Canis lupus familiaris: one gene and its partners. The protein of the gene in region 4 purifies or fractionates together with the protein of the main gene of each other region. This does not show direct contact. Links are inferred from orthologs where the notes say so. Each region holds a gene or a part of one and is shown on either strand. Other genes may lie near its edges.

Region 1 (4,453 bases), on a different chromosome or scaffold from region 4:
GGTGCATTGGAAGTCCTTAGTCTTGGGATCATTAGTCTTGTAGCTCTACTGGTAGCTGAATATTTCCTATACCTTTAAGAGCTCAACTTTCATCAGTTAAATGAACTATGGGCAATTAGAAGTATAAATTAAATTAGCCAAGTAACTTTTGACATCCATGTCATCTCTACAGAATTGAGTCCATTTCACACTCCCAACAATGGGGAAGTCCTAGGCTTAAGATATCTAGGTATTGATAGAAAGTTAAATCTAGTGTATAGGATGAGGGTGCAAAGCCTGATAAGGGAACTTGAAGGTATATAGTAATTTAAAGATGAAAACCAATCATTTTTGCTAGAGATAACACTTTAAGATGGTAATTTAAAAAAATTTCTTAAGCTATAATTAGTATTGAGACAAATTGAACTTTTACTTGAAATGTGATGCGCAGGAGCACCGGGGTGGCTCAGTGGGTCAGGTCTCCGGCTCGCTCTGGCTCCCATCATGATCTCATGGGTCTTGAGATCGAGCCCCCATGTGGGGCTCTGCACTCAGGAGGGAGTCTTCTCCACCCCCACTCATGCTTATTTGCTCATGCACTCTCTCTCTTTCTCTCTCTAAAATAAAATAAATCTTTAAAAAAATGTGATGTGCATTTAGACTTTGCTTTTTTGAAAGTAGTTTCCTGCACATAATGACACATCGTGTCAAAATGGCGTATTTTAGTACAACATATTTTTCTCTGGGCAGAAGACAGACTTCTGAACCACCTAAGTCACTGCTTAAGAAGAAACAGAGAAGTATAAATGACCCTATTATAAAATATGCACTAATTACACTTGAACGAGCAAGGTGAAACAGTTCAGAGTACAATTAGGGATAAAATTCTATATAATAGGATGGAGGTTTGGAAACAAGGTTGTGTGTGTGTGTGTTTGTGTGTGTGTGTGTGTGTGTTCAGGGGCGTTCTTACTTCAGTTCTTAAACACCTGTACTTTTTGAAAACCGTCCTTTCAGCATTTTGCTTAGGCATGCATCCAGACACAGGCCTACCCGGCAAGAATTGCCCTCATTTATCAGACGGATAAAATAAGCAGAGGCACTTAGCATAGACAGTTTTTCGAGTCACATGGTGGGGCAGTGGTTGAGCAAGTTAACCTGTCCTTTGCAAGTTAAGATTGCCATTTACTGGGGACATCGGCTCTATTGCTTCTAAGATTTACCATATCTCAAGAAAATTGTGAGACTTGTTTGCAGGGGGAAATGGGACAGGAAGAGTTTGAACTTATTTTTTTTTTTTTTTTTAATTTGGAAGAGTGCTAGAAAGATAGGAGACCTTTTATCTTATTTTGACTCTCAACTGGAGACAACTATACATTTTAACTCATACTTTACAGTCTGTGATCATTTAGTTGTCTTTCGTTTCTTTTCAGGTGGTGCCCCGGCAACATGGGTGACTGGAGTGCCTTAGGCAAACTCCTTGACAAGGTTCAAGCCTATTCCACCGCTGGAGGGAAGGTGTGGCTGTCTGTCCTTTTCATTTTCCGAATTCTGCTACTGGGGACAGCGGTTGAGTCGGCCTGGGGTGATGAGCAGTCTGCCTTTCGTTGTAACACTCAACAGCCTGGTTGTGAAAATGTCTGCTATGACAAATCCTTCCCAATCTCTCATGTACGCTTCTGGGTCCTGCAGATCATATTTGTGTCTGTCCCCACACTCTTGTACCTGGCTCATGTGTTCTACGTGATGCGCAAGGAAGAGAAACTGAACAAGAAAGAGGAGGAGCTCAAAGTTGCCCAAACCGATGGTGCCAACGTGGACATGCACTTGAAGCAGATTGAAATAAAGAAGTTCAAGTATGGAATTGAAGAGCACGGCAAGGTGAAAATGCGAGGGGGCCTGCTGCGAACCTACATCATCAGCATCCTGTTCAAGTCTGTTTTCGAGGTGGCCTTCTTGCTGATCCAGTGGTACATCTATGGATTCAGCTTGAGTGCCGTTTACACTTGCAAAAGAGAACCCTGCCCTCATCAGGTAGACTGCTTCCTCTCTCGCCCCACGGAGAAAACCATCTTCATCATCTTCATGCTGGTCGTGTCCTTGGTGTCTCTTGCCTTGAACATCATCGAACTCTTCTATGTCTTCTTCAAGGGTGTTAAGGATCGCGTGAAAGGCAAGAGCGATCCTTACCATGCTACCACTGGCCCACTGAGCCCCTCCAAAGACTGTGGATCTCCGAAATATGCATATTTCAATGGCTGCTCCTCACCCACGGCTCCCCTCTCCCCCATGTCTCCTCCTGGGTACAAGCTGGTTACTGGAGACAGAAATAATTCTTCCTGCCGCAATTACAACAAACAAGCAAGTGAGCAAAACTGGGCTAACTACAGTGCAGAACAAAATCGAATGGGCCAGGCAGGAAGCACCATCTCCAACTCCCATGCACAGCCTTTTGATTTCCCTGATGACAACCAGAATTCTAAAAAACTAGCCGCTGGGCATGAACTGCAGCCACTAGCCATTGTGGACCAGCGGCCTTCCAGCAGAGCCAGCAGCCGTGCCAGCAGCCGACCTCGGCCTGACGACCTGGAGATCTAGATCCAGGCTTGAGAGCATTGATTCCACTCAGTGTGGAGAAGAGAAAAGGTGCTGTAGAAAGCGCACCTTAGGCGTTCATTTTGTTTCAGTGGAGGTGGTACTCAACAGCCTTCATCGTGAGGCTTAGAAAACACAAAGACATTAGAATACCTGGGTTCACTGGGGGTGTTTGGGATAGGCGGGTGGAGAGGGAGGGGAACCGGGAGGTACAAGTTGGTATTTAATGTAGTTTATTCAAAGAACTTTAGTTCTAAATATAAGTTGCATTAGGTGATACATAGGTAAGGGCTTTTTCTCCCCCCCACACACCCTAAGAATAGTGCTGTATATGTGAAAGAGTGGGTGATATATTTGGTTAAGTACTTTTTTGTTTTACCATGAAACTGAGATAACTTTGGCCGGGAAAAAAGAAAAATACTTCCTGGACATCTTGTTTCCTTTTATCAAGAAGAAGTTGGAGGATTGTCCTTATGTCCCTGCTAAAAAACATTCCATTGTTAAAATTTGCACTTTGAAGGTAAGCGTCCTAGGTGGGACCCTCCAGGTGTCTGTGGACTTGTGATACTATATTTTCTATTCTTGGTATCAGTTAAAAGTTCAGATAGGGCCCACAGAAAAAAGACTTTCCATGCATTTTCAAATCTCAGCCAGTCATATGTACATTATTTTTTTTTAACATCTACTTGCATCCTATTAATGCCATCACTTTTTCATCATTCCTCAACAACTGTTCACATTCATTTAATGGTTTCTGTAAAGATTTTTAAAACCGTGGGGATATCACTTAACATTTTTTGAATTAGAGTCAGGGAATCAAGCCATGCTCAATATTTAACAATCACTTCTATGTGTATGTGTGTGGAAGAGTGTGTTTTATTTGTCATGTATTGGTACAAGCAGAGCAGTATAAACTCACAAACACAGATTTGAAAATAATGCACACATAGTGTTCAAATTTGAGCCTTTCTCATGGATTTTGTGGTGTGGGCCAATATGGTGTTTACATTATATAATTCCTGCTGTGCAAGTAAAGCACACTTTTTTTTTCTTTCCCTAAGTGTTTTTTTCCCATGTATCCTATTGTGGATACTGGTTTTGTTAATTATGATTTTTTCCCTTTTTTCTCTTTTTTAGAATATAGCAGTAATGCTATTGCTGAAATGGATGATTTTCTTTTTCTGAAATGTAATCATGGATGCTTGAATGATAGAATTTTAGTACTGTAAACAGGCTTTAGTAATTAATGTGAGACACTTAGAAGAAATGCTTAGAGTGGGCTTTTAAGTGTGCCTAAATGAATTTTGCAGTAACTGGTATTCTTGGTTTTGTCCTACTTAATACACATTAATTCAGAACTTGTATACTGTTAAGAGTTAGATTGTCTTTTGGAATGACCAGCAACTTTGATGTTTGCACTAAGATTTTATTTGGAATGCAAGAGAGGTTGAAAGAGGTTTCAGTAGTACACATGTAACTAATTTATTTGAAATGTACCCTAAAGAAATCTACCATGTAACTAATTTATTTGAAATGTACCCTAAAGAAATCTACCAGTTTCTTCAAATGCCTTTTTAAAACTCATCAGAGATGATTAGTAAAAATGCGGAGTATCATACTTTTCTTCTTGCATGTCAGCTACATAAACAGTTTTGTACAATGAAAAATACTAATTTGTTTGACATTCCATGTTAAACTACTGTCATGTTCAGCTTCATTGCATGTAATGTAGACCTAGTCCATCAGATCATGTGTTCTGGAGAGTGTTCTTTATTCAATAAAGTTTTAATTTAGTATAAGGATAGCCTCTATATCCTGTGTGATTTTTTTTTTTAACTTGTATTACATCTATTCATGATTAACAAAGACATTTCATTGT
Region 2 (4,626 bases), on a different chromosome or scaffold from region 4:
TATCTTTCCATAAAAAGGACTTTTTCCAACTCAAATTCCTATTGTTTGTTGTTTTTAACCGGGCTGCTGTCCGTTCTCTGGGGGCAGACAGCACCCCCAACCCATATTAGGAATGGACTCTCCTGGTTACTAAAACAGCTCTGTGCATGTCCTTCTTCCTAGAACCCAGAATGATTTTCCCAAGCCCCATTCCTGGAAACCCAAATGGACTGTCCATTAAATTTGGAAAGTACGCCCCGCAGCTCTTGTCTTGGTACCCATCCCCCACCCTCACCCCACACTCCTGGGATTCCGAATGGAAGTTCACAGGATCCAGGACACTCCCCTCAAGGCTCATTCCAAGAATACTAGACGTCTCAGATTAGAAAAGTGATGTGGGGTTTAGTTCCTGTAAGTGACAGAAACAGCCGCTTCCAGTTCCCTTTGCCCCAAATTTCTCAATAGCTCGGGGCATCGTAGTTCCTGAGGCTTTGCCTTCCCCCAAAATCAGCGAATCAAAGAAGGTCTCAGGGTGCCAAGGGGTAATGGTTGGACCAAACCAAGCAGATTCATCTATTCCTTCCTTTTAACTAGTGTTCTTCAGTACCAGATCCCATTCTTGCTCAGGAGGAACTCTAAGTTTGGTGGAGGAGAGGTTCACGATTTTGATTTGATATCTGTAGAATGGCGTTATGGTTGCCCCCAAAAGGCATTGTACATTGGAAAGTGGTTAAAAGACAAAATGTAGGTTAAATCCCTGCTCTGTTATCCTGAGAGCTGTGTGACCTTGGGCAAGTCACGCAACCTCTCTGGACCACAGGTTTAAGGTCTGCCTAAATAGGCTTAGATTGAAATTACTGTTTCCTCGGTTCTGAGAACGGAGGTTTCAACATCTTGGCCCCAGACAAGAGAGGGGGAAGGGGACGGGAAGACTTCCTGGAAGAAGATTTAAGGAGTCGGGGGTGGAAGAGAGGAGGGAGAAAGTGGAAACAGGCAGACGCTTGCGCAGTAAACATCTCACATTTTCTTGCCCCTCCCAACCACTTCTCTGCAGCGGGGAATTGCAGGCGACGCTCCACCTATCCAGGGCAAGACGAGTGACAACCCCGTCCCCCTTCCTTCTCTACCTATGATCGCCTTTCTCCCGCCCCCACAACCGCCCAATCGGGGGCGGGAACTGAGGAGGTCTGGCGAATCCGCGACGCCTGCGTGGGCGATCTGCCCGCTCATTGGTCTAGATAAATGCAAGTCCCGCCTCCCAAGCCCCCGCCCCCGCCTTCCTTCTTGTCAATCCCTCCCTTCGCCGGATCCAATCAGCAAGGGACCCGGCCTCACGGAGGGGGCGGTCCCACCACACGTAACCGAACTCCGCCCGTCTCTCGGGCAACGCCCCTTTCCCCCGCCCCCCGCGAACGGAAATAGCGGGCCACTGGGCCAATCGCAGCAGCGTGCCTTTGTCCAGCGACCAATGAGAGAGAGGGCGGGGGGCGGTTGCGTCCGATTCTGAGCGGCAGTAACTCGAGCCAATGGGAGGTTGATAGCTCAGGACGGCGAACGGGAGGGGAGGGGCCGGGGGCGGAGCCGCGGCCTGCCGCCCGCCCGCCCGCCCGCCAGCCCGCCCTCCCCCCTGGCCGGCTCTGCTTCTCGGCGCTGCTTGGGGTCCTTTGCTCCCGGTCCCCGCCTGCCAGCCCCCGCTGCGCTGTGCCCTGCCCGGCCAGGCCTGGAGCCGACACCACCGCCATCATGCCGGCCGTCTCCAAGGGCGATGGGATGCGGGGGCTCGCGGTGTTCATCTCCGACATCCGGAACTGTGAGAGCGCGGCCGGGGGACACTGGAGGGCGGGGGAGCATGGAATTGAGGGGCTCGGGGATTACTGAGGGGCCCGGGGCATTGAAAGCCATCGCGGGCGAAGGGGGGGAGGATAGAGAGGCCCCGGGGGGAACTTTAGGGTGGGAGCAATGGAAGGACTTAGGGTGTCATAGAGTGCCTCTTGAGGTGACGACACGGAGTGGCTAGAGGCGTCCGGGAGGGTGTTAAAGGAAAGGTCCCGGGGCTGGGGACATAAGGGTGTCCCCTGGGAATGCTAGAGAGGCTGGAGGAACCTATCAATGGTGGGGAGAGAGAAATCCTTGATGTCGGTAGAAAGGGAAGGAGGTGCATGGGTGGGGGGTACCCTGTGGAGCGATAGAGTGGGAGAGGGCCCGAGGAGACCGGGAGGACGTAAAACACAGGAAGCATCATGGGGTCTGGCTTTGAGGGCCTAGCTGGGGGGTGTCATAGAAGGGAAGGGGCTAGGTAGGTCACGGAGGCTCCTGGGTGGTGCACAGAGCGAATCTGAGAGTAATAGAAAGTCCCAGGGGGTTGAGGAAGAGAGATGGGAAGGTGGGACTATATAGCAGGACCTTGAAGAGGGAGAGAGGGACTCCAGGATGGAGGGCAATGGAGAGGGGGGCTGAAGGGTCGCTACAGGGAAAGGAGGGGTTGAGGAATATGGAGGAGAGTTGCTGGGGGTGGAGGGTCTTGGGAGAACCCGAGACAGGAAGCTAGGGGCCTGGAACAAAGAAGAAGAGGTTACAAAGTGGGGGCTTGAGGAATGTGCCAGAATGGGGAGAGCCCAGAGCTCAAAAGAAGGGCCCAGGGAGCCTTAGGATTTTGTTGGGAAGAGATCTGGAAAGCTGGGGGTTGGGGGAAGCCTGATCCCAGAGGGAGGTCAGAGGTCAGGGAGCAGGCCAGTCCTGAATCTGGAGCCCTCTCTCATCTGACCACATCAATATGGGGACAGTGAGCAGCAGCAGCAAGAATTGTCGTGACGATGAGAGGCCTGGTGCCAAGTCAGCTTCCCAACTCCTGGGAGTGGGTGTTGGTGTTTGGAGCTGCCAAGAGCTTTGGAGGCTATATCCGCAGGGGCTCTAGGGTCAGCCGGACCTGAGCTTGAGTTTGAGTGCTGTCACTCCCTAGCCATGTGACCTTGAATGGGGGATTTCGCCTTTCTATTTCCTCATCTGTCAGGAGGGACTGCTGATTGCACCTTCCTGATGAGGTTGTTGTGATAAATGCATGTGAGTGAGGCCTTCTGCACATTCCAAACACTGGACAGTCTTGGCTATTGTTTTTGTCATTTGGTGGATCTGACAAGTGGCCTCTGTTAGATGCCTGGAGATTATTTTGGAATTTGGTAGATATGAAAGGACTTAGTACATAGTAGGTGCTCAGCGAAAGAGGGCTGGAAGGTGTTGGGAGTCAGGTGAAGGAGAGATGTTGTGGTTACTATGGTAAGAGGTGAGTGAGAAGGGGCTGCGGGTTAGGTGGGGGGCCATCTATCAGGAGTAGGTGTGCATTGCCCCAGATGCCTACCAGCAATGTGAAGTGATGTGACTCTTGGCGAGTCATTTAACTTCTCTGAGTCCCAGTTTTTTCTTTTTTTTTTTTTCTTTCTTTCTTTCTTTCTTTCTTTTCTTTTTTTTAGACTTATTTATTTTAGAGAGAGACAGAAAGAGAGCACAAGGAGGAGGGGCAGAGAGAGAGGGAAAGAGAGAGACTCTCAAGCAGACACTGCATTGAGCACAGAGCCCAACTCAGGGCTTCATTTCACGACCCTGAGATCACCACCTGAGCCAAAATCAAGAGTCAGCTGCTCAGGCACCTCGAGGCTCCTATTTTCTTATCTGTAAACTTCCTTGATAATATCATCTTGTCTCTGAAGGTTCATTCATTCATTTATTCAACAAATGCTTTTTGATCACTACTTTTTTTTTTTAGATTGTATTTATTTATTCATGAGAGACACAGAGAAAGAGGCAAGGACACAGGCTGAGGGAGAAGCAGGCTCTCTGCTGGGAGTCTGATGCGGGATCACGACTTGAGCCGAAGGCAGATACCCAACCACTGAACCACCCAGGTGCCCCTGATCACTACTTTTTGACACTACACCTGGGACTAGGCTATAACAGCCAACAAGAATCTCTGGCTTGGGAGCACCCAGGCCATGAGGGACATAGAAAATAAACACTGAACTACAATAAATGACACTATGTCAGAAGGTAATGTGAAGGAAAGTCAGGAAGGAAAGATAAGGAAGGACCAGGATTGAGATGGTGCCTGAGTAGGCCTCCCCAAGGGGGTGACATGTGAGTAGACTTTTGAGTGAAGTGAAGGAACAGACCCTGTAGATTTTGGAGGGCAGAGGGGTCCAGGTGGAGGGATGGTGCATTTAGAGGTCCTGGGGTGGCAGTATGCTTGACGTGTGTTCTGGTAAGAGGGAGGGGACTTGTGTGGTTGGAGCTGAGGGGGGAGAGGGCAGGAAATGAGGGCAGAGAGAGGGGACAGGGATTGTGGAGGGCTTTACAGGCCTTAGCACTCTGGCCTTTCTCTGGGTGAAACGAGAGAAGGGTTAGAGCACAGGAGGGGCTTGAGCTGACTGATGTTTTAAAATAATTCCTTTGCTGGCATGAAGAGAACAGACTCAAGAGGTAGTGGTGGAAGCAGGCAGATAATTAGGGGGCTGCTGCAGGCATCCAGGTGAGAGATGGTGTTGGCTTGACTGGGATGAGAAGGGAAGGATGAGAAGTGGTTGGTTTGGGGACAAATTTTGGAGGATTTGCAAGGGAATTGGATGATGGGGGTGGGGAAGGAAAGAGAAAACATGT
Region 3 (4,500 bases), on a different chromosome or scaffold from region 4:
ACCCAGATTCCAAAGGTGTTCTGCTAAAAAGCAGTCTTCCTGGGACAGTATTCATTGCCAGAACAGGGCTGGATTGTTTAAAAACACAAATACAGAACGTGTCTTTGCGTATTTGGGTCACTGTGGGCTGTCTGGGTTTCCATTTGCGCAATACTGATTAATAAAGCTAATGTCCTGGGTTCTATATTCCTTGCAAGTCATCTTTAAAGGCAAATGACGTCATTTCAAAGCCCGAGTTCTAGGGGGGGGGGAGATAATTAAATTATTTATACCCACACTCTACTAAAAAGGATTTTTGAACCTAAAATCTGAACTGCAGGAATAACTTGACAGAATGTAAAACGAACACCTCGGCTTCATTCAAGCGCCCCAGGTGGGGGGGGGGGGCAGCCCTTGGGCCCCCGTTTCTGCCCCCGTACTTTGCGGGGCAGCGTCCAGAGAATCCGGGGCGCTCGCGCAGGCTGTCCGGGCGGGGGGCGGCGGCCTGTCAGCAGAGGTGGCCTGATCGCCAGACCCAACCGGCTGACCCGAGGGCGGGCCGCCCGGGCCGCGGGGCAGTGACTCCGCGGGATCGCGCAGGGTGGCTACGGCCCACTCTTCCTTCGTTACGACGAAGCGCCTTCCTCCATTAACGTAGCTTCCACCTCCCGCGCACCGGGCAGTACGGGCAAGCATCTCAAAGGCCACAAGTGGGCAAGCGGACGGCTGTTACCGCGACACCCGGCACTCCCACTGCCCTCCCCGGGGTCCCGGGTGCGCGCAAAGGCGAGGCGAGCGCTACGGCGCGGAGGGGCCGGGCACGGCCGCCGCGGGGTCCGCAGGGGGCGGGGGCCGCCGCCGAACCACAGCGCGCAGGCGCGTCCGCGTCGCCCAGTGGTCGAGCTCCTTTCTAGTAACTTCGCTAGGCGTGAGGTCATCACCGCGCGCCGTTACCGTGCTTCCCAGAACACGCTAATTTGTTTTTTAGCCAAGGGGATGAAATGAAATGAACTGATCCCTCCCGCCCCATTTTGCTTTTAGCTCTCCTCTCCGGCTGCGCCTACCCTCTGGGCCATGGAGCCGGGACAGGGAAAGAAAGGCGGCCGGGGCTGGAAGCGGGGCTGGCCGGGCATGACTCGGCGACGCCGCCAGCCGACTTACCCGGCGTGCCCTGCGCGGCGCCGGCCGAGGGACGTGGGGGGAGGGGCGGGGAGGAGGAAGAGCGGCGGCGGCTGCGGATGTCGCTGCGACCGAGCGGCGTCTGAACTCACGGCGGCTGCCGAGCGCCCAGCCCGGGCCTGCGCCGGAGCCCGCGCCGAGCCCCGCGGCCCCTCGCCTGCCAGGGCGGCCCCGCACCGGTTGTCACTGAGGCGGCGTGCCCCGCGTTCTCCGCTGCCCGGGCCGGCCGGCTCTGCCGTCTGCTGGCTCCCCCTCGCTCGCCCGCTCCCTCCTGCGCGCCTGAGTCACCGCCGCCGCCGCCATGGCCGAGAGTGGTGAAAGCGGCGGCCCTCCGAGCTCCCAGGACGGCGCCGCCGCGGCCGAAGGTGCAGGCGCCCCCGCGGCCGCTGCGTCCGCGGAGCCCAAGATCATGAAAGTCACCGTGAAGACCCCGAAGGAGAAGGAGGAGTTCGCCGTGCCCGAGAACAGCTCCGTGCAGCAGGTGAGGGCCGCCCTGGCCGCGGGCCCGGGTGGGGGTGGCGGCGGGACCTCCGCCCGCGGCGGGAGGAGACCGTCCCCCGAGGTGCTGTCGGCCCGCCTCGCGGGTCTCGCCCCGAATCAGATCACACCCAAGTTGCCGGGTGTGCTCCTTGGGACACCGCAGAGGCTTGTGGCGGGGCCCCGCGGCCTGCTGTGGGACGCGCCGACGCCGCCCCCTCCCCCCGCTCCCGCGTCCGCGGACCACCAGCCCCCGCCCCAGCCCCCGCCCCCCGCCCCCCGCCCCCCGCCCCCCGCCGCCTCCCTCCCGCTGCTCACAAAGGAAAGGGACCACCGCCGCGCTCCGGGCGGGGTGGAGGCCGGGCTGGGCGAGGGTTCGCGGTAGCCTCCTCTGCGGTTTTGTCTCCTGAGTTAAAAAAAAAAAAAAGGGTGGGTGGGTGCCCATTGTTTCACCTGCTTGCAGCTTAAGGTCGATTTTGGGGCGAGGAGCACGTGTACATTTAGTTCTGCGTTTTGATTGCTGAAATCTTTTCTACCTTCTAATCTTCAAAAAAAAAAAAAAATTAACCATGACGTAGAAATCGTTTTCAGCCACATCTTAATAGTACTAGCCTTAAGGAAGAAAGGTGGATGACTTTCATTGATGACTTGCGGTTTTCTTTTTAGTGTTTATCATCCCTTAGGTGCCAGTCATCGGGAAGGTTTTTGTTTGATTTTAGAGGGATGGTAGCCACGTTTTGCAGATATTAGCGGTGGCAGTCGAATGCAAGAGAACAAAATTGGAGTTAATGGAGAATATTGCCAGATAATTTACTGCTTAAAATTGGGTTCGGGTGTACAAACTTTGCTGTTCAATTAAGAATCTTGAAGAATTCAACAAATTTGTTGTAGCTTATTGTTGAAAATATTTTGCATAGTTGTTGACCTCTGACGATCTAAAATGGGAACAGTTTGAGGGAACAACAATGTGAAATGTACATGTAAGTTTTCTCATAAACTGTAAATGGGATATTGGTTTACATAATCGTTCTGAAAGGTGGTGTAGAGTAGAGCAGGAAATAGTGGTGTAAATAGAGTAGAGCAGTAAGTAGAGTGTACCATCAACTGAGAAACTTTTACCACCTACTGAATCACCTTTTGTGTGTGTGTGTGTGTGGGGGGGTCCCCAATTGTATAAAAATTTCTCTTAACATTTTAATATTTTCTAACATCTAGCAGAGTTGAAAGAATGGTACAGTGAACATTCATAGTTCGTCACCTACAATTGACGCTTTGTTTTATTTGCTTTATCACGCAACTAATCATGTATTACTTCCTTTTACTTTTTGAATGCATTTTAGAGTAAGTTGCAAGTATCATTAAATGTTTTCAACAAATACACCTATATGATCCAAAGTTTTATCAAGATGTAGAACTTTACAGTTCAATCACTCCCCTCCATACATCACTGTTTTGATTTTTTTCACCATTAGTTTTTGCCTGTTCTAGAACTTCACATAAGTGGGATTATATAGTATATATTCTGTTGGGTAAGGTCTTTTCACTCAGTGTAATGTTTTTGAGATGCATTCTTGTATATGCCAGTAATTCCTGTTTATTGCTGTGTTTTCCACTGTGTGAATATGCCATTAATTAATGCATTCTGCTGAGGGCCACATGGGCTTCTTGCAGTTGGTTGCTGTGAACATACAAACTTTTTTTGTTGGACAGAGGGAGTTTTTCCTGTTAAAATTCTTAGAAGTGGAATGACTGGGTGATAGCGTAGTTGTAGGCTTAGTTATGAGAAACTGTCTTTTTAAAAAGAGCTTCTATCGCTCTTTTTTAAAGGCTGGTCGAAAAGAAACAACCCAGATGATTAACAACCCCTTAGCTGATGAATAAAGAGTAAAATGTGATATATTCCCCTACAATGGAATACTATTCGGTATTCCACCAAAGGTTCTACCAAAGGTTCTTGGGAGTTCCTGTTGCTCCACATCCCTGCTAGCATTTGATAGTGTCAGTCTTTTTCATTTTAGCTCTGCTAGGTATATTAGCTTTTGAAGCCCTTAGATCTTCTTTCTAGGATTGCTAATTCAGGTCTCCACCTTCATGCCTGCTTTCAGCATTTTATTGTAAAGGATTGGAAAGAGTCAATATTTTATAAATAGAAAAGTACATTTAAGTTATTTTATGAGGTACTGTCTGTTAGGATTTATATATATATTGTGTGTGTGAGAGTGACATTAGAATTTTAAAGCCTGTGGGAGTTTTAATTTTACTTTTCTGTAACCAAAGTAAATTGGTTAAATTAAAGCTTTTCCGAAGCAACTTATTCTGATGACATTTGAATTTTTATTCTGAAAAGTGCTTTCTGTTGTCATTCGTTCATTAAAATTAGTGCAGAGAGCAGAAGGGAGCTTCCAGGTAACGTGTCTAATTAGCTTGTTCCGGGATTTTGTAGTGCTCTAGGTTATAGTAAAAGATTTTGAAATCTAGTTCTCTGAAATATTCAGGCAACATATATTCTAGTCTTAGAAAACATTTTTATCATTTGAAACTTTTAGAATATTCGTATACTTAGATATAACAAGTATTGCATAGATTTGAGCCTTTTCTTGTTAAGGGAAATTGCTGTGTGTCAGGATCATTACCACAAACATCATGTAACATCATACTTTATGATGAGTGTAGAACTGTACTGTCCACTTTGGTACTACCAGCCACATCTGACTATTGAATACTTAAAATGTGGTTGGATTGATTTGAAATATGCTGAAAGCATAACTTACAGATTTTGAAAACCTGTGACTGGCTTCTTTCAGTTAATATTTTCAAGGTTCATCTGTGTTGTTGTAGCATGGATCAGTTCTTCCCTTTTATTGC
Region 4 (3,946 bases):
CAGTAAGAAGTGTTAAGCAAAGAAGAAGATGGTGTATTCCTGGCAGAGAAAACAGTATTTACATAGGTATGAGATGAGAGAAACATGCTGCACAGAGTCAGAAGAAATTCTCAAAGGATATCTTGTGATGGTGGGGAAAGTATTGATAGGAGATGAGGCTCTCTTATAGTGGCTCCCTGCATTATCTCTTACTTAAAATATAGATGTCTGTACCCCACTGCAAACTTGCTGAACTAGAGTTTCTGGGATGGTGCCAGGTACATATATTTTTACAAAAAAATTCCATGGGTGATTATGATGTGCATTGCACCTGGATAAAAGTGACCACTTTTAGGTCAAAAAGGGCAAGAGGGTTCATCTTGAAGCATTGGAGGATTTATCTTACTGCACTGAGTAACCATTGAAGAATTTAAGCAAGACGTGACATAATTGCACTTACCTTTTAGAAAAATGTAGAAAATGGATTTGAGAGTGGGACTGAACATGCAGAGATATGTTAAGAGACTGTTGGAATGGTCTATGTGAGATGGTTTTAGCCTAAACTTAAGCAGTAATGGGAGGGATGATGACAAGAATACAAGTTTGAAATACATTAAAGACATAAAATTAACAGACTTGGTTTTTATTTAGGCATTGCAATCAAAAGGTTATCCTTCAAAGACATAGGGTGATATGGAGATTTTCCCTGTCACTTCTTAAAACTCTTTTTTTTTTTTTTTAAGATTTTATTCATTTATTCATGAGAGACAGAGACAGAGAGAAAGGCAGAGACACAGGCAGAGGGAGAAGCAGGCTCCTTGCAGGGAGCTCAATGTGAGACTCGATCCCGGGTCTCCAGGATCACGCCCTGGGCCAAAGGCGGCACTAAACCACTGAGCCCCCCGGGCTGCCCTTCCCTGTCACTTCTTAAGCCCTGTTTCCTACTGATCTAAATCCAGAAAGCCGTGGGAAGCCATTGAAGGACCTTTAACCAAACAGTCCTGATCAGATTAGTATTTTTTTATTTTATTTTATTTTTTTTCAGATTCGTATTTTAGATCTATTCCTTTAGCTACTCTAAAAAGGGTCATTTGAAAGGGCACATGTTGGAGGCAAGAAGGCAGTTGGAAGGTTAAGCTGGATCAGAATGATGATACTATAAATGGATGATAGTGACAGTGAAGATGGAGAGGAATGGATTTGAGGAGGAGGTGGGAGGTAAAACAGCAAGACTTGGAGGCTAGGTGGGAGATGACCAAAGGGAAGTGGTTAAGTGGTTAAATTTTGTGGCCTGAGTGACTTTGATGCTTGATGATACCATTTTCCAAAGAAAGATTTTAAGAGAACTCATTTAATGAATACATTCTGCTTGTCTTTTGTTTTTTAGTAATTTTTGGTTATCCTTTGTCAGTTTCCTCTGCTGAGTAGAAAATACATAGTTTAGTCCATGTAGCATTAATATTTTGTAGGTAAGAAGTAGTCCTGAAATACTGCCTTCTGGTGTGCCTGATGATAATGAAGTGGCGACTACAGCTGTTAATGAGAAAGTTTGTCCTGAATTTAATACTGACAGACATTCAAAAGAGGTAAAAATAATTTTATATATATATACATATATATATATTTGTGTGTGTATGTATATGTTCTCATTACTGGTTTCCCTAGATGGGCTACACACTGTTTTAAACTAAGGAAAGAAAAATGTATTAAGTGAGCTTTATGACTACAGAAATATTTGTTGTATTACCATCCATTGATATTTTTCAAAGCATTTTATTTCAAAATCTTAAAACTGGTTCCTAAAAGAATACTTTTTAATTTAAAATTATTTTTAGGGCGATCCATTTAATGCAGAATCCAGTTCACTGACAGATCCAGTTGCAGACACAAACTTGGATTTTTTCCAGTCTGATCCTTTTGTTGGCAGTAAGTACTCTTCTTATATTATGGATTTACCAAAAAAGTCTTTTTAATGTAACGATATAAGAATGAGGGCTTCAGTTTTGAGATCCTACTTGTTACAACAAAAGTGGAGGATGTAGAGATGTGATATGTTATATTTGCTGGTATTTGTCCTCTTCAAGCAACTAACTCACTTCTAGGACTAAGCCACTGATTATGTCTGAGGAGCCCCTGATTAAGAGCATGTTTCTTGTTCAGAATAAGGACCAAAAGAAAGAGATATTATGGACCAGGAGAGGAGATTAAGTACTCTTAGGTCAACCAGCGATTTTTTACTAATGTGCCAACATCATGCTTTTATTTATTTTTTAAAGATTTTATTTATTTATTCATGAGAAACAGAGAGAGAGGCAGAGACACAGGCAGAGGGAGAAGCAGGCTCCATGCAGGGTTCCCGACACGGGACTCGTTCCTGGGACTCCAGGATCATGTCCTGGGTCGAAGGCTGGCGCTAAACCGCTGAGCCACCCAGGGATCCCCACATCATGCTTTTAAACGGTGGAATCAATAGCAGTTAGAAGCCTGATCCCTGCCCTTATGGTGCCTATATTGTTATTGAAGAAATAAAAGTTTAATAAATTGAAATACCTGGTGTCCATGTAAACTATGTTAAATACCACTGGAGTCAAAGCTCTTTTTGCATTTTATTTATTTCCAAGTCAGTTTATTGAAATTGATAGGTCATTTTACAACAGTTTTATTTTTTTTTTTCCTCCAAGGTTTTATTTAACTTCCAGTTAGTTGGGGATCCCTGGTGGCTCAGCAGTTTAACGCCTGTCTTCGGCCCAGGGAGTGATCCTGGAGTCCCAGGATCAAGTCCCACATTAGGCTCCCTACATGGAGCCTGCTTCTCCCTCTGCCTGTGTCTCTCCCTCTCTCTTTCTCTGTGTGTGTGTCTCTCATGAATAAATAAATAAAATCTTGGGCAGCCCAGGTGGCTCAGCGGTTTAGCGCCACCTTCAGCCCAGGGTGTGATCAGGGACCTGGGATCAAGTCCCACACCGGGCACCCTACATGGAGCCTGCTTCTCCCTCTGCCTGTGTCTCTGTCTGTCTGTCTCTCTCTGTGTGTCTCTCATGAAAAAATAAAATCTTTAAAAATAAAGTCTAGAACAAAAATTTAATTTAAAAAAATATAAAATCTTTAAAAAAATAAATTCCCGTTAGTTAACATACAATATAATATTAGTTTCAGGTGTAGAATTTAGTGAATCATCACTTACATACAACACCTGGTGCTCAGGACAACAAATGCCCTCCTTAATCCCCATCACACATTTAACCCATGTTTTCTCCCCCACCCAGGAGAACTCCTCTCTTGTTATCATTAGTGTATTCTCTATAGTTAAGACTATGTTTCTTGGCTTGCCTTTTTTCCCCCCATGGTCTTTTTTTGTTTGTTTGTTTCTTAAATTGCACTTATGAGTGAAGTCATATAGTATTTCTTTCTCTGACTTATTTTCTTAGCATAATACTCTAGCTCATTTGTTGTTGCAAATGAGAAGATTTCATTCTTTTTTGTTGGCTGAGTAACATTCCACTACATGCACATGTGTGTGTGTGCGCGCACACACACACCCCATGTCTTTGGTATCCATTCATCAGTTGATGAACATTTGGTCTGTTTCCATTAATTTGGCTATTGTAGGTAATGCTGCTGTAAACATTGGAGTGCATGTATCCCTTTAAATTAGTATTTTTGTATTCTTTGGGTAAATACCATTGATGCAATTGCTGGGTCCTAGGGTAGTTTTATTTTTAATTTTTTGAAGAACCTCCATACTGGTTTCCAGACTGGCCACACCAGTTTGCATTCCCACCCACAGTGCAAGAGGGTTCCCCTTTCTCCACATCCTCGTCAATACCTGTTGTTTCTTCTGCTGTTGAGTTTAGCCATTCTGACAGGTGTGAGGTGGTATCTCATTGTAGTTTTGGTATGCATTTCCCTGATGATGAGTGATGTTGAACATCTGTACATCGTCTTTGGAAAGATGTCTATTCGTGTC

Evidence for each region. Proteins that work in one complex are often made in the same cells at the same time.
Region 1: the proteins of EPS15 (region 4) and GJA1 purify together in Homo sapiens (affinity purification with western blotting; 3 studies listed by BioGRID). This does not show direct contact. The link is inferred for Canis lupus familiaris from reciprocal best matches to the Homo sapiens genes EPS15 and GJA1.
Region 2: the proteins of EPS15 (region 4) and AP2A1 purify together in Homo sapiens (affinity purification with western blotting; 5 studies listed by BioGRID and IntAct, with this or other methods). This does not show direct contact. The link is inferred for Canis lupus familiaris from reciprocal best matches to the Homo sapiens genes EPS15 and AP2A1.
Region 3: the proteins of EPS15 (region 4) and UBQLN1 purify together in Homo sapiens (affinity purification with western blotting; 3 studies listed by BioGRID and IntAct, with this or other methods). This does not show direct contact. The link is inferred for Canis lupus familiaris from reciprocal best matches to the Homo sapiens genes EPS15 and UBQLN1.

The regions. Positions count from the first base shown.
Region 1 is NC_049222.1:61,513,726-61,518,178, forward strand, and holds GJA1 (gap junction alpha-1 protein), read left to right. Parts: upstream 1-1,412; 5' UTR 1,413-1,428; coding exon 1,429-2,577; 3' UTR 2,578-4,089; intron 4,090-4,131; 3' UTR 4,132-4,378; downstream 4,379-4,453. UniProt on the Homo sapiens protein: Gap junction protein that acts as a regulator of bladder capacity. A gap junction consists of a cluster of closely packed pairs of transmembrane channels, the connexons, through which materials of low MW diffuse from one cell to a neighboring cell.
Region 2 is NC_049222.1:107,457,273-107,461,898, reverse strand, and holds the start of AP2A1 (AP-2 complex subunit alpha-1), read left to right. Parts: upstream 1-1,585; 5' UTR 1,586-1,722; coding exon 1,723-1,789; intron 1,790-4,626.
Region 3 is NC_049222.1:76,346,861-76,351,360, forward strand, and holds the start of UBQLN1 (ubiquilin-1), read left to right. Parts: upstream 1-1,459; coding exon 1,460-1,639; intron 1,640-4,500. UniProt on the Homo sapiens protein: Plays an important role in the regulation of different protein degradation mechanisms and pathways including ubiquitin-proteasome system (UPS), autophagy and endoplasmic reticulum-associated protein degradation (ERAD) pathway.
Region 4 is NC_049236.1:9,899,238-9,903,183, forward strand, and holds part of EPS15 (epidermal growth factor receptor substrate 15), read left to right. Parts: intron 1-1,448; coding exon 1,449-1,565; intron 1,566-1,814; coding exon 1,815-1,905; intron 1,906-3,946. UniProt on the Homo sapiens protein: Involved in cell growth regulation. May be involved in the regulation of mitogenic signals and control of cell proliferation. Involved in the internalization of ligand-inducible receptors of the receptor tyrosine kinase (RTK) type, in particular EGFR.